Lepisosteus oculatus: one gene and its partner. Each later gene encodes a partner of the first gene's protein in a complex. Links are inferred from orthologs where the notes say so. Each region holds a gene or a part of one and is shown in the gene's direction. Other genes may lie near its edges.

Region 1 (7,191 bases):
TCTCCTACTGTTCTTTGAATAATCTGAAGTTTAACATACTGTAAGTATTTTGTTAGTTCTGGATTATTAAAACCGGCCTGTACTGTAGGTGAGTAAAGCCAAGTCTATAAAGATACAAAAACATACTAATAAAACTCTCAAATAAACTCTTTTCAGAAAAAAAGAATAAGGTACAAAAAGGGATACAGTATGTACAGACGGAAATATATTTTACACCGCCTTAAAACATATTGTGCTTAATATCAACATTATACAGAATCTGCACCCAGCTCCCTAGACCCAAAAAGTATTCAATAGAAACAAGCAGACTGCCTCCCCATCTCTGTTCTTGCTTAGTCCTTCTGTGTGCAGGTATAGAGGAGCAAGTGTGGGTGAATATATTCACACGGACTGGAGAGGCAATGATGCAGTGGTGGCCCAGCAGATGAACTGCACAACTGTGCACTGTGCGTATGTGCACAGATTACAAAACCAAAAAGTAATATGCTGAGAGATGAAGAGAATATTTTTTTAAAAATTAGAATGGGATAAACGAATGTGGAACATTTCTTATGCATGACGTTCCTGAGTCATAAGATTTTGATCTTTGCTCTCCGAATGCAGCCTGGAGGGAGTACTGAAAAAAATGTTCTGGACAGGGAGACGACTTTCTGAAAGTATACAAAAGTTCTCACACCCTTTGCAGAGTGTGGGATGCCAAAATTCCTGTAAAAAAAACACAAAAGTGTGTGATGCAACTTTGTCAGTTTAATACATACTGACAGTATTTACTGGTATTACTGTAGAAATATGTATATTTAAACAACATGATTTATTGATCTGTTGTATAAAGCCTAATTGTTTATGTTTTGCTGAATCCCTATGACTGCCAGAAACTGTTGTGGTCATATTAATTTCTAAGAAAGCTTTTTTTTTCATATGGCTTCGAATAGCTGGGCTTCAAAGATTCTCTGCCATGACCAGGAATGGCCAGGCTTGCTGAGGATTTGCATGAGCAATTTCTGAGGAGAGCAGCCGAGAAACAGGACTCCGTATGGGATTTTAGAATTGCATCCAGTAAAATCATAAAATATTATCCTGCCCGTACTTTGTTGGTGATGGGGAAATGATTCTGTTGTCAGTGCTCTTTATGTTTGAGGCACCAATAAATTCTTCCTAGGGTTCTTCACAATGGCACACATCTTTCTGGAATGGTTTGGTTCACTTCTAGTCTTCAGCAAATCTCTTGGAGGAACCCTTCCTTGGAAGCTCATGAGATATAAGAATATAAGAACAGTTACAAGTGAGAGGAGGGTAGATTGTTCCTGACTCCCACACCCACTGGGTAAAAAAAAAACCTCCTCTTTCTGGTTTTAATTTACTGTTGAATTGTATTAGTTAAGGTTGTAGTTCATTCAGAATTACAGAAAGGTTAATACAATGTAAACTTTGTTAAAAATCCACCGGAACACAGCAGACGTGCAATGCAAGGATTTTGTCAACATATGATACTAAAACATGAAAGGTCCAGCATTTCAGACTGCAATGACCCCAATTCACATCTAACTTCATGATTCAGATTTATGTATCTTAATGCATCTCTCATGGCATAATTAAATTAAATAATGCATAAATTAGATTATATGTGTATCATCAGTGACACACTTCTGAACATGAGACCCGAAGAAATAAAAATTGCAATGAGCATTTTTTTCAAGCTCACAGACAATTCGGAAATGAAATGAATTCATATTCATATCCATATTAATTTCACTGAGTTGGAGCACAGACTCTGTGGGCAGGATTCCAACATGCTTCCACTTATCCAGTAGGTAATATTTTTTTAAATTCCATCCCAGTCCTCAGGCAGGGCAACAGCCAGATCTTATTGAATTGTTACAGTGTTATAATGACGACAGATGCATTATCCTAGAAGAGTCTCTAGTTTCCTGTTGGATTGTAAGCTGTTGCAGGACAGCCCAACAATTCTACAGACTATGTAATATATGTCTTTAAATCTTCCCTTTTGGTACACAGTCAGACTTCTGAAAAACTGAGCCTCTGCTTTTACGTGGAACGGTGACCATTACAGTATCTATTCTTCATCGTGGTTTGCACCATGCCCACTCACAGTGAAGAACTCGTAGTTTTGAGTTAAGCTTGTGGCTCAGGTGACTCAACCTGAAAACGCAGAAGAAGTGCACATGATTGTGTCTCGTCTTTGGTCATCCCAAAGATTAATTACATTCACATCATTTTTGCCTTTCTTGATGTGTTTTAAGACAAATTAGTTATTTTTGATGCATCCGTGTTTTGATTGATTAGGATTCAGTGTAATACCACATGCTTGTGATGTCATCAGGGAAATGTACAGTAGTTTGTTTTCAGTTTAGTATCTTCTGGATCTTTTGTAAGTGTAAACATTAAAAAGTAACATAGCTGTAAGCAGACTGCAGACGTCTGGGCTCATCACCTCAAAGTGCTCTTTCAGGCCTTTTCCCAATCACAACTTGTAAAGGGTACCAACAGAAACATGTTGCCATCTCACAAGCGCGTGAGACACACTTATCCATCCCTTTTTTCACAGGCTGGCATAAACCCTGCATGAAGTGCTCATGAGTTAGACTGAGCTCTTTCCACAATGTTGAGGGTGGGGGTGTGGGACACCTACAGTACATCAGAAGGGCCTGATGTCTTCTAACACTCCAACCTAGGTTACAAATTAAACAATTAACCTAATCATTTTTTTACTAAGACACATATAGATTGTTACTTAAGGTATTTAACATTGATAACCCAGTAGCATAGCAATACAATATTTTAGCCTGGGTTGTTGTATTAACTATCATGCTCTCAGTCAATCTGTGTAGCTGAGAATGTGTGTGTGGAACAAAGACCGTAAGACATTAAACTCTCCAAGCACTGAGTTTGAGATCCCTGCTATACAGGATCTTTTTATAACTATAACTGTGAAAAACATCCTTAAAATAATGAGGTTAATTGTTGATTTGACTACTCAGGTTAGAACAGAAACCAGAAGACACTAGCTCATCTAGTGATTGACACCCCCAGCCTACAGTCAATTATACAACTTGTGAATTGGCAATAAGTAATTAATATTCATCCCCAGAATTCAAAATGACAGCATACATTTAAAACACAATCTAATGCTCTCTTGTATACTATAGAAGTATACAAAGTAACACTGAGCAAATCTGCAATAGTATCTGTGAAGGACTGGTACAGTATGTAATTACCTTTTAATCAATAACAAATTATTAATACAAACATCATAGGTGTCACTTATAAGGGACGTATTAGGAGATTATAAGTAATAAACTACCAGATCAGTAATCTTAAAAGACTTACAAATCATAAAAAATGTCAAATGTAGTGCACCACATATAATTGTGATTAAACCTAATATCTTCTAACCATAAGTTATTATTTTCATTTTAACTTAGAAACCATTTTTAGCTAAACAAAAAGCTGTATTGGTTAACTTTTTTAATAAAAAAGGAACTCTCCAAACTTTATGTTACTTTTATGTACTGTATATTCCTTTCATGTTACACGCATTTTCTTCCTTGAGAGATAGAATCGACACATAGTCATATGTTTTAAATAAAACCATCCTAATCAACAAAAATATGAAGGTGATCCAAAAGTTTTGAAACATGGAAAAACTGAAAGCTTTTTTTATTTTTCAATGAGCTTTTTTTAAACGCTCATTGAAAAAAAACTCAGCGTTGTAGTTCTCTAAATACCGCGCAGTCTAAATCGGTCTGAAACACTGTGTTTCTGCTGGGGTGGCACATTCCCCTGGAATGTCTATAAACGCGTCTCAGTGTATTTCTTCTTCAGTTTTGCGAGGATGCTTGTACAGTTACAAGCGACTGTTAAAAAGCTTGGAAATTGCTGCCAAGAATTGCAGTCTCCTTTGGCTTCCATCCTGGGTTTTACAATGCTGCATGTCTGCTTTTAATCAAAACCAAATGGTAAGTCCAGTTCCCAGCTCGAGAGACACTCGGAGCGACTTGGAGGAAGTTGTGCTGTAAGGGAAGAAGAAAGAAGAAAAGATAAACAGATGATACTTGAAGCGAAGCCGAGCAGACAGCAAGGATGTGAAAGATGTGGGCTGTCCCAAAGACATGATTCAGACTCCTTGTCGAGCCAGGAGGAACAGCGCTCCTACAAGTGCACAGTGTCAGCAAAACTTTAATGTGCTCAAGATGGAGACTGTCCTTCAGTTTTCACAGTGCGGGATTTGTGTGGCTCTGGAGACTTTTCAGGAAAGGTAACGACAGCGGTACCCTTAAACTTTGGAAATGTTTAACCTGGATGGGGAAGACATATTACAATTTTAATTTAAGGGAAGTTATGTTTTTCTTTTATCTTTGACAGAGACATTGCCTGATAACAAGCACTCCGTAAATAAACCTGGAGATGACAGAAAATAAAACCCATTGACTTGGTGACGAATTGCTCTTTCATTCTTAATGCAGTATGAAAATGAATCCATGAAGAACACTGGGAACTCTGTTGAAATTCACAATTTTTGAAATATTTCTCAGTTGTCTTAATAAGGTGTAATTTACTGTGTGGTGGAGTTTTATCTAGAGTTATTTTCTCCCGTCCATCAGACCAATCAGCACTGAAACATCTAAGATATGTTAGATATCTGTAGATCACTGCGTAAAACACTGCTGAGTGCATGTTGATCTTTTAAATTCTGGTCATTATGCCCTTTGCCATTCAGACATGAACATGCTGTTTAAAGGCAGGAAATACTTCCAGGCAATCTGGGGCTAGGCAGAGTTGGCCCCCTTTCTACAAGCCATTACTCTTCGAGTCTGTAGGCAGGAGTCACAGAAAATTGACAGAATCCCGTGTGCCTGAGTTTCCCTCCAGCAGCAGAGCTTGTTTTTACACAGATACCAGCAGTACAGAGCTGCCTTCAAACAGATCACTCTGCTACGGCAATTAAGGATATGTGGACTTCTAAAACCCTCACTTTCACAGTACTAATGGTAATTGCTGAAGTTTGTTCTAAGGTAACAAAATAATCCATGCTTTTCTCTTGAGAGTAAGGTAAGTGACTTCTACATATCTATTATTTTCTGAAAAAGAGCAAACAGGCTCTTTAATGAACAATGTGGATACTGGTTTTCAGTTAGAAGGATGATTCTTGTTTGGTGCAAATGTTAGTGGAGTTACAAAACAAATGTTACTACCTCCGTTCAAGACATTAACTGACTGTGAAGTTAGACAGCAATTGCAGGCAATGGATTAGCTAAAGGCACATTGTGAATAAGATGTTTTGATATTATTTACAGAGCAATTTCTGTAACAACTGTCAACTAATCAATCATAGTAGAAAGCATAAACTGTAGTTACTAGGTAATTCAACACTTGTGGAATGATTTTAAATCATCCACAGACAGCACATTTTTTAACTGCTTTGTATGTGCCTGTATCTTTTGTAACGTTTTGCTTCTAAAAAATATTTTTCAGCTATTAAACAATGTTTTGAAGATTTTCACACTGTTAAAAAGTCCCTAATAGTTCATGACGCATTAATCAAATTAGCTTCTTTAAAACATGAGTTTTTCTTTCTGACTTCAAACTTATTATATTCAAGGTGAATAAATCAACATGCTTGATGGTTCTTTGCTAATTGAAGACCCCTTTACTGTGAGTCTGAACCTTTGCGTACTATGGAAACATTTGATCTTCACATTTCTTAGATTCTGTTGGAATTTGATGTCATCTGATGAACACTGAAATGTTTGAAACTACAGTAAACCATGTCTTATCCATGTTTACTAATCTTTTTCAGCATAGCATGTGTGCAGCTAAATTTAGCCTCAGTGTCTTATTTTGCATTGTTGTATTGAAATATCTCAGTACGAAATACAGTACCTACAGTACCTGCACTATAGCATGATGCTTTCAGCTTTATGATGCCACCAACGCCACTAGGAATAAGCGGTGTTTGAAAAATCTTTGGGTAATACTTCAAACTACTGGCCGTTTCAAAAAGAGTTTATTCTCAAACTCTGCGTTAAAATGTTGATTGTGTTGCTGTTTAATTTAAATACCTAGAAGCAAGAGATCATGAATCGTAAGGGAACTGAACACTATTCATCTTGTAAGGAATTTTGTTATCAGTAGGAGACAGTGATCTCTTATGGCCTGTAGAACAGACTATAGACTTTTATATGATACAGGATGTCTATTTTCCTGTATACTGTATATATATATAAAACACAGTGAGACATTAATGACTCAGGACTTTACATCATGGAAGCTTTTTTAATTGGGTCCAGTACTCATTGGTTGCATGTTTCATGCCATTCTGATAATAAAGCACAGTATTCAAGACGATGCATGAAATATATTATATATGAGATTTTGTTTTTTTACCTGTAAACCCTTTCCTGTAGTATTCTCATTCTTACTGTAAGATTTTTGTACGGTTCGTGCAATTTATAAACATATAATGTGGTCTTAAATTTAAGTTCATCTTGTATTATTAGTTACAATTCTCAATACTAATAAAAAATTTGCATAATTAGTTTATACTATAGAAAAATGTTAAATATGTGGTAAAAGCCAAGCCTTTGTGCAGGACATAATTGCCTAATGCTCCACTACAACAGGCATAAATTAAGTCAACTTTTGCTTTATGAAAGTATTTTTTGATTGGATTTCCACCTTGGCAGAAGTGAGAGATGTGTGTGCTCCTTGCACATGCAGTATTTCACTTATTTCTTCCTTTCCATGATCCTGTAGGCTTATTTCAAAAGTATACCCATATATCTGCCCATTAAAGAATACAGTTCTAGAGTTCAACTTTCAAGACTTTGGAGTTTGAAAAAAGCTCACAATTGACAGTAAATATTGACGTAACGAATTCTAGTTCAGCTCTAGTCTTCTATCAGTCCATTTCACAAGGCCAAGAGTCAGGGCAACCTGGAGTCCAGAATCCCACATTCCCAGAATCCCAGATTCCCACATTCCACGATTCCCAGAATCCCAGAGGCATACAGTAGGGTGCAAAACAGCATTAGCCCCCTGGATCATGGAACTGCTATAATCTCATGGCTTTACTCTCATAGAAATGTTTTCCATTTCTGAAGCTATTTAATCAACCTGTCTGTGGCATTTCTGTTGAGTCCTAATTCATTCTGTTTTCCAAACACCAAGAAA
Region 2 (7,650 bases), about 60 Mb from region 1:
CGGACAGATGATTTTTTTTATTCTCCACATATAAAATAATATATGTAACACACTCAAGATACAGCCTTTGCGTGCTTTGTTTCGGGTTTCATTGTGTTGTGTAAAGAATAGTTAAACTTTCACGTGGTGGCAGTATTTTTTTTTACATTACTACTTTACATTACTTGTTAATCCCTAGCAAACGCATTAAATACTTCGAGAGACAGAAATACCCACAAATAGGCTCCTTTTATCCCTCATAAACTAAGGCACAAATATGCACGCAGGAGCTGCTTATACCATGAAGTGTCCTGGAAAGTTTTGGGGAGCGTGTGTTTCTGACACCGGAAATCAGATGTACGTCATCGCTCAGTGGTCTAGGTAATCATTTTGGCAGATCACCACACAGGGAAGTAATTCATCCAGCTGTTTCTCAAAGGAAGGCAGGATTTCTGCTTTAACCACATGGCTGAGCAGCCTGTTCCCTACTCCCACACTCTGTTGTGTAAAGAAGTGCTTCCTGTTCTCAGTTTTGCACTTCCAGGTTACTTCCATACTATTCCAACTCGTCTTAAGTAACCTGCCAGGAAAACAATTGAACCACAGATCTAAAATAGGGATCTCGAATCTTGGTGCACAGGACCTAGACTTCTGCATGTTTTTTTCTTGGCGCGCTTTAACATATCAATGAGCAGAGATTCATTCGTACTTTTTAAGTAAACACTGGATTCACCGACGTCTCCTATGGTCGAGCTGGCGCTGAAACCCGAGAGGGCCGTGTGACACCACAAGACTGCAGCTGCACAGGTAAATGTGTCATCCCAGTGCTCGGGGTTTCTGGTTCGAACCCTCGACCAGCCAGGGACTCCCTGGTTCTCCACACCGAGAACCCACTGTGACCGAGTCTGCAGCAGCAGTAGCTGTTGATCCTGTTAATCTCTGAATGAGCCACTTCAGATAACAGCATCTGCTCAGCAGCTGATTAGATATCGATTCCAATCCGTTCTGGTCTGAAGCATCATGCGAGGATAGGGCCGCCCCAGCCCAGAAAGCCTGCCTGCCTCCCTGCCCTCTCGGCTTTGATTCTGTCTCCTGTGTTGTTTTCTGGGTGTGCTGCCTGTACCCCTCAAGCCGAGCACTGGGAAAACTCGGAGCAATGGACTGGCATTCGAGAGGGTCTCTGGCTCATACCTGCGAGCTGCGCAGAGCCCTGTTAATGGCCTGCTGTCTGGGATCAGGAGCAGAGGAGGCTTGGACCAGGCACAAGAATTTGCCTTACAAGGGGCTGTCTTCACCGAGAAGCTGGGGGCGCACGCAGAGCTGCCCTCCTGCTCTGCTCTGCTCTGCTCTGCTCTGCGCACGTAGGGCTGTACGTACGGCACCAACACATTTCCTTTGTCAAGATGTGGCCAGGTTTGCTTGTTTGTGCACAGCAGTTTATGCAGCAGAAAGATGAGGCTGCAGTGCAGCGCAGCGTGACACTTCATGTGTGTCAGGTGGAGGAGGAGGTGGGGTCTCTGGGTGTTGTCCCAATCCGAGACCCTGCCAGACTGCGGAGTCCCGGCAAATTGCAGGGCTGGTGTCCTTCTCTGACTGATTTTGTTTCTGGGGAACCAGCAAACAGTTTCTTTCATCACTGCAGCATTTGACAAGGATTATATTATAATATTACCGTTTACATGATACCTTTGAGCTAGTTGCATGCTGTAGTTTTTTACCACTTATTTCTAGCTTGTTAAATGTGGTCAAATGCAGAGGTGTCTTCCTGCCGGTGGGGAGAAGACAGCACAAGTGTGTTTTCTGGCATCCAAAACTACTGTACTACACACTTTGACTCTTTTACCTGTTGCAGTGCAGAACAAGCCGGGGAAATACAAATGGAATAGAGCCTCACTGATGTTGACCATTTTTAACAATCTTACCTTCGACCCAGAACTGCTGTACACATGCTGTACCTTTCAGGCAGTTACAAATATCTTGTTTGGTGACATTTTTTTCCTGGCTGATTTTAAACTGGAAGATTTAGCACACTGTCAACCAGTACATCACCACAGAGTGTTTGTGGCCTCTTTTACAAGCCTTAATTCACTGATCCATGTCCATGGTACCACACAGTTCTTAAAATTAGGATGCATCAGATTTATAATTCTTACTCTGGATGTATGGGGAAAAGCATGTTTTAGCTGCGGTTAAGAAATGACCAGTCATATTTCTGGAAAGTAATGCTGAAGACCAGCGAGCCCTCAATGACCCCAGATTTTATTTCATGTTGTTTTTGTGAGTCATCCCTGTGAGGTCAGCGAACATTCATTAACTGTGAGGAGATGCAGTGTTCATGAGGAACATTTCTCATGAGTGGTGACCGGTAATCTTCAGGCTGTTGTCAGATTTTGCTCTCAGACCTCGATCACTGTCTTCCTCAAATGTTAAATTGTCTTACTGCTCTCTGCGTTCAAACTCAACTGCCTGTGGGTGTCATTCTTCGCACTATTGCTACATATTTAATTACATTTGAGGGTATTTAATCCTTTTAGCCGTAAGCTTCACTTCTCTCCTCTTCATTAATTCCTGCATGGACTCTGTGGTGCACAGATCTTAGAAATTTTGCATTTTTTATACTTTTTCCAGTGTTTTTTCAGAAGCACAATCCAATTGCCCTCTGTGATTTTAGCCATTTTGTTTAAAGGTAATGGTTAATATTGACAAATCTGTGTTTTGTAGTACAGAAAGTAGAATTCTAGCTTTATGAAGGTGTAGTGAGTACCAATTTACCAATAACCATAACTATTCCTTACACTTAGTTCTTTTCTGGACACTCCACTCAAAGAGCTTTACAGGTAATGGGGATCCCCTCCACTACCACCAGTGTTTTCCCCACCTGGATGATGCACCAGTATGCTCCCCGCAACACCAGCTCTCAGTGTTAAGGAGAACAGAGTGATGACGCCAGTTCATACATGGGGATCATTAGGAGGCCACGATTGGTAAAGGCCAGGGAGAAATTTAGCCAGGACACCTACTCTTTTTGAGTAGCACCCTGGGATTTTTAATGAGCACAGAGAGTCAGGACCTCGGTTTTATGTCTCGTCCCAAGGATGGCATCTTTTTTACAATACAATGTCCCCTATCATTATACAGGAGCATTAGAACCGTCACACAGACCACAGGGAGAGCGCTTCCTACTGGCCTACTGGAGCACCTGATATCGATCCTGACATTGATAACGTCTGACCAACCAGTTTGACCTCATGAGTAAATGTGATGGATTTAGCACAACACCTCAGATTGGCTCTCCGTGTAGAGTTGAGATGTTGTGATTGTGTTTGTGTAGCTGCAGATCAAAGTGAATTAAAGACGCTAAACGACAGGTTAGGTGCCTTCTCATAAGCTGTACTGCCAACAGTCAGAGTTGTTATAACAGTAGAAAAAAGTAGTGGAGGTTCTGAGTAAATTGTTGATGCTCTTTACAACATACATATATTATAATTCTGGATTGTCTCCAATGTCTAAGACTTTAGCCCAGCAGAGAACCTGGATACATAACTGGTTACAGTGCCAACAACATCAATTTAAGTAAGGTATAAGGTATATACTTAATTAGGTATAAGCAGATGATTTATAGAGGGCTCTTCACATTCAGATGGCATCGTGTTGCAATTATACTGTATATTGTGCTTAAACTGTAGCAAAGGGAATTATTAGTCTGCTTTCGAATCCTGGAGAGAAGCAATTCCTTGTTGTGTTTCCAGTGCTGGTGCCAAAGCTCATTGCTGGCTGGACCAAGCCCAACCTATATTGCATCCCTTTATATGAAGCTTGCAGACAAAATAGCCTTTTCGCCTTGTGCTGTGAAAGATGTTTCCGAACGTTGTGGTGGCACATTAAAAAAAGTCCACGTACAGACTTCATAGGGGATCTACAGGGCCTATAGAGCATCTTGCCTGTCTGCAGATTGACCAGGTGATGTGCTCTAGAGAGCAGCTGGTCAGCAGGTAAATAAAGAACAGCGCTTTTTTCATGTTCGAATTGTAGGTTCGAAGGTTGGTTAACATGAACGTCACCTGCATCTCTCCAATTTATTTTACCTGAAAAAAAAACGAAACATGAGGCTGCTTTAAAGGCCGAGTTGTGGTTGTTTCTGGCTGTTTTCGCCTGCAGAGAGCGTACGTCTCCTGGGAGGCGCGATTCTGAATTTTGGCCTCCATTTGGATGGAGGGGTCCCGGCCAGGAATGTACACAGACAGCGACAGGGAAACCAGGAATGGGGCTCAGGGGGGACGCGTTCCCTTTAAAATAAGAAAAATCCGGCCGGGGGGGGCGCAGTGGCTATCGGTTTCCTGCTCGTATTGTACCTCGTTGCAGCGTCTGCGCTTGGGCTGGGGGTTGTAAGTGAGCCAGGAAAAGCAGAGGAGGGGGGCGGGGGGCGGGGGGGAGGGCCTGGCGTCAGCCGACAAAAACAGCTGTGGGACTGTGGAGTGGAAAACAGTCGGGCATGAGAGAGGGAAGAGGGGAAGAGAGAGACTGACAGAGGGTCCCCGCTCTCTATGGGTTGTGCCTGGAGCTCTGAGTGCTGCGGAGAGGAGCTGTGCCCGGTGCCGGTCGAGTGGGTGCCCAGGAAAGAAGGCCCGGGCGCTGCGGACAAGATGAGGCTGACGAAGGTAGGCTCTAGAAAAATTCAGGGCAGGTCCGGGGCTGGCATTCCGAATCGGATTTGTGTTGCTGGTGCCTTGGGTCTAGGGCAAGTGTGCTGCTTTCTCAGCTCAATCCGGCTTTCCAACACCGGCGCTGGGCAGGCTGTGCAGTGTGTCTTGCTGTCGCAGGTGGCCCAGGATCATCATGATCTCCAGGGTCTGGATCTGGGCCCCGGGTTCCGCCGATGTGGTCCCAAAGAGCTCAGGGACGAATCACTGAATCAGTGTGACTAGGACCCGGGCTGTAGATCTTCGGATGTAGTCAATCTTTTCACCCAGCTTCTCGAACCTGGGCCCAGCCGCTGCTGTGTCATGGCTGGAGTGTTCTTCTGCCCTGGCTGGACCACGGGCCTTTCTGTCTAAGTGTGAAAACTCTGATTAGGTGCTTGCAAGGAATTGGATTGTCTGGAGTAGCCTTCAAACTGCAAAATTAGTGGGCAGTGACAGGATGACATTTAGAAAGCAGTCTCCGGGATCTTGAAATTACTAGGGTTTTTTAGGTTTGGGGAAATGGCTGGACTGACAGAAAAGCATGGAGACACGTTCATATGAGGGGGCAAACTGTACTTTGGGTGCTGTGCATTTAATAGCAGGAATGGAAGCCCAACACCCATTTAGAGGAGGATATGTCACTTTTTATAACGTTTTGTGTTCGGAAACCATGTGTCCAGAGAATCAGGCTATTCCGACAGTGCTGAGCAAGTCCAGAAATTCGCAGCCTGTTTCTGGACCACATGGGGTGAATGTAAATGCACAGTGAGCTTACCCTTTTATCAGTGTGTACTCGCTTGTGTACTGATACAACTCGAGCTCTTAACAAAATATAGGAGCTGATAAGAACCACTCTTTGAATTTCACAGGAGCGACAGTGGTACACATCCAGTATTCAACTTGGATCCTGAAGGTCTAGATAACTGCCTCAGTGTCTGACTTTCATTCCAGTGAATGAACAGAAGTCCTCCTAACTAACAGGAGGGGCCCCAGGAACAGGTGTGCTTGTGCCTGTTCCCTTTGATGCCTGGTCTTGTTCTTTGTCACATGCAGTATACAGTACATGATCTCTGTGTCAAAACCACCTTTGCAAGCCTAGGTGGGTGTTATTGTGCGTTACTGTAATGTTCCTAACATTAAGATTGCTCTGAGGAATGGGAAACTGTCAGGGAGGAGTACGATCCATAATTCTGTTGTGTTCATTGGTGGAGCTTGTGGACCGGCGGGATCTGGCAGAGAGGAACGCCAGAGCAGTGCACTGAGGGACTGGGATTGCTGTGTGTCACTCACACCCTCAGTTTGGCGGTGGACTGGGTGGGAGGGGTGTTGGAAGTTTTCATCTTCTGAAATCTGGGTCCAAGTTCTGGTTCTGGTTTGGAACGCTACCCTACTCACTCTGATGTGCGGGGTATAAAAAAATCTACAAGCCTTGTTTTTGACTGGAATTGTCACCAGTTTGGGCTTCCACCTGGTGCTGAAATCCAGGGAGAATTTAAAACAGCAGAGCATTTGAATTGTACAATTAGAAGTGAATCCTGTTCCGGTGGTGTTGTTTACTGTAACTTTTGTGTAATTTGTGACTCTCCAATGTGACAGTAGTGGTACCCTTGAGCAAGGTGCCTCACCTGAATGGTTCCTGTAAAACACCCAGCTGTGTGAGTTGGTGCCAGTGTAAGTCATTTTGGACCAAAGCATCAGACAAAAATAATATAGCTTTCTCAAAATCCAGCTCCCCTGTCCTTGTATCTGTAATACCTGATGAGGCCCAGGTTCCCATAGCAATAAAGACAAGAACGTTGGCAATGGCTGGTAGAGAGGTGGTGAGCTTTGCTGCCTCGCCCTGGGTTAAATTCTGGGCCTGGGGTGCTATCTGTGAGGAGTTTGTATGTTGTCCCCATGATTGCGTGGGTTTCCTCTAATAGTCCAAAGACATACTGGTAAATTAATCAGCTTCTGGGAAAAGTGGCCCTGCTGTGTGGTTGTCTACTCTGGGATGGAGTGGGGTCCCACCAGGGTGTACCCTGCCTTGTGCCTTTTGCCTGCCGGGCTCCCCAGCTGCCTCAAAACTCTCCTTTAGAACCTGTCAGCAAAATTGAAATTGTAATACCCTGAATTAACCTTGAAAGGCTGGTTGTAGTTAGGGCAAGGTGCTCAAGAATTGAAGTGAGTTCTTAAGCATTGTGATCCCATAGTTTTCTACCAAGAGGCTGAATCTTCGGGACTCATGTGGTGACGTTTTCTGCAGAAGACTAGTGAGATCCGGAAAAGGCGCCACTTCCTTGGAAATGGACGCCAACAGGCCTTTCCTAGCTTCCTCAGCCGGGATTCTCATAGTAAATGCTGCAACTGTCTGTGGCCGTCAGTAGTACTTCCGGATATAGCTTTCCCGAAGCATGCCATGCATTCTCTGGGAATTACAGAAAGCTCCATCGGTTTCCTCCGAAATATTCCATGGAGATCATTATACAAACGTCAGCATTAAAAAAAAGTACTTGGAAAATTTGCGCTCACACACACAAAAGAACATTTTGTAAAATCAACATCCTCTCCCTGTGTTTAAAGGAATATACTCTGTGGCCTCAGTCGATACTGTAGTTGGCCTGTCTCTTCATTCTCTGATTGTTGGTTCAGCTGGGAAATTGCCCAGAGTGGCTTTGAGATCTGTATAACCTGCAGACTGAAATGTTATCCAGCATTTTTGTTTAAATTTTTGGCAATGAAGTGACTTAGCATTTATGGTGAACAGGAGATCTTTTGGTTTTGAATCACTGCAGACTCGTAAAACAGTATTATTTTTTTTAGTTCTGATTTTAGACAAGGGGATTCAGACTCTAGTCCTGGGGTGCTGAGTGTTTTGTTACAAATTAAACAATTAAAAGTTCTTAACATTTTCTTATGCTGAGTTACAGTTGAACTCTCACAGTGCTCACTTCATTAAAGGTTAAGTTAACCTATAAAACAGTGTTGATCCAGGACAGAATTATGCTCC

The links.
Region 2: the proteins of dlc1 (region 1) and tns2a are in contact, whole or in part, in an NMR structure (PDB 2LOZ), measured with the Homo sapiens proteins. The link is inferred for Lepisosteus oculatus from reciprocal best matches to the Homo sapiens genes DLC1 and TNS2. Residues at the interface, in NP_001335010.1 of Homo sapiens: Glu811, Asp812, His813, Lys814, Pro815, Gly816, Thr817, Phe818, Pro819, Ala821, Leu822, Thr823, Asn824; in NP_736610.2 of Homo sapiens: Asp1268, Leu1269, Leu1270, Arg1271, Gln1272, Gly1273, Ala1274, Ala1275, Cys1276, Lys1317, Ser1319, Ala1320, Gln1321, Thr1324, Leu1387, Asp1388, Pro1389, Asp1390, Gln1391, Val1403, Leu1404, Leu1405, Gly1406.

Annotation. Positions count from the first base shown.
Region 1 is NC_090696.1:77,394,965-77,402,155, forward strand, and holds the start of dlc1 (rho GTPase-activating protein 7), read left to right. Parts: upstream 1-3,991; 5' UTR 3,992-4,276; exon of another isoform or gene 4,277-5,070; intron 5,071-7,191. UniProt on the Homo sapiens protein: Functions as a GTPase-activating protein for the small GTPases RHOA, RHOB, RHOC and CDC42, terminating their downstream signaling.
Region 2 is NC_090696.1:17,524,612-17,532,261, forward strand, and holds the start of tns2a (tensin-2), read left to right. Parts: upstream 1-4,438; 5' UTR 4,439-4,523; coding exon 4,524-4,637; intron 4,638-7,650. UniProt on the Homo sapiens protein: Tyrosine-protein phosphatase which regulates cell motility, proliferation and muscle-response to insulin. Phosphatase activity is mediated by binding to phosphatidylinositol-3,4,5-triphosphate (PtdIns(3,4,5)P3) via the SH2 domain.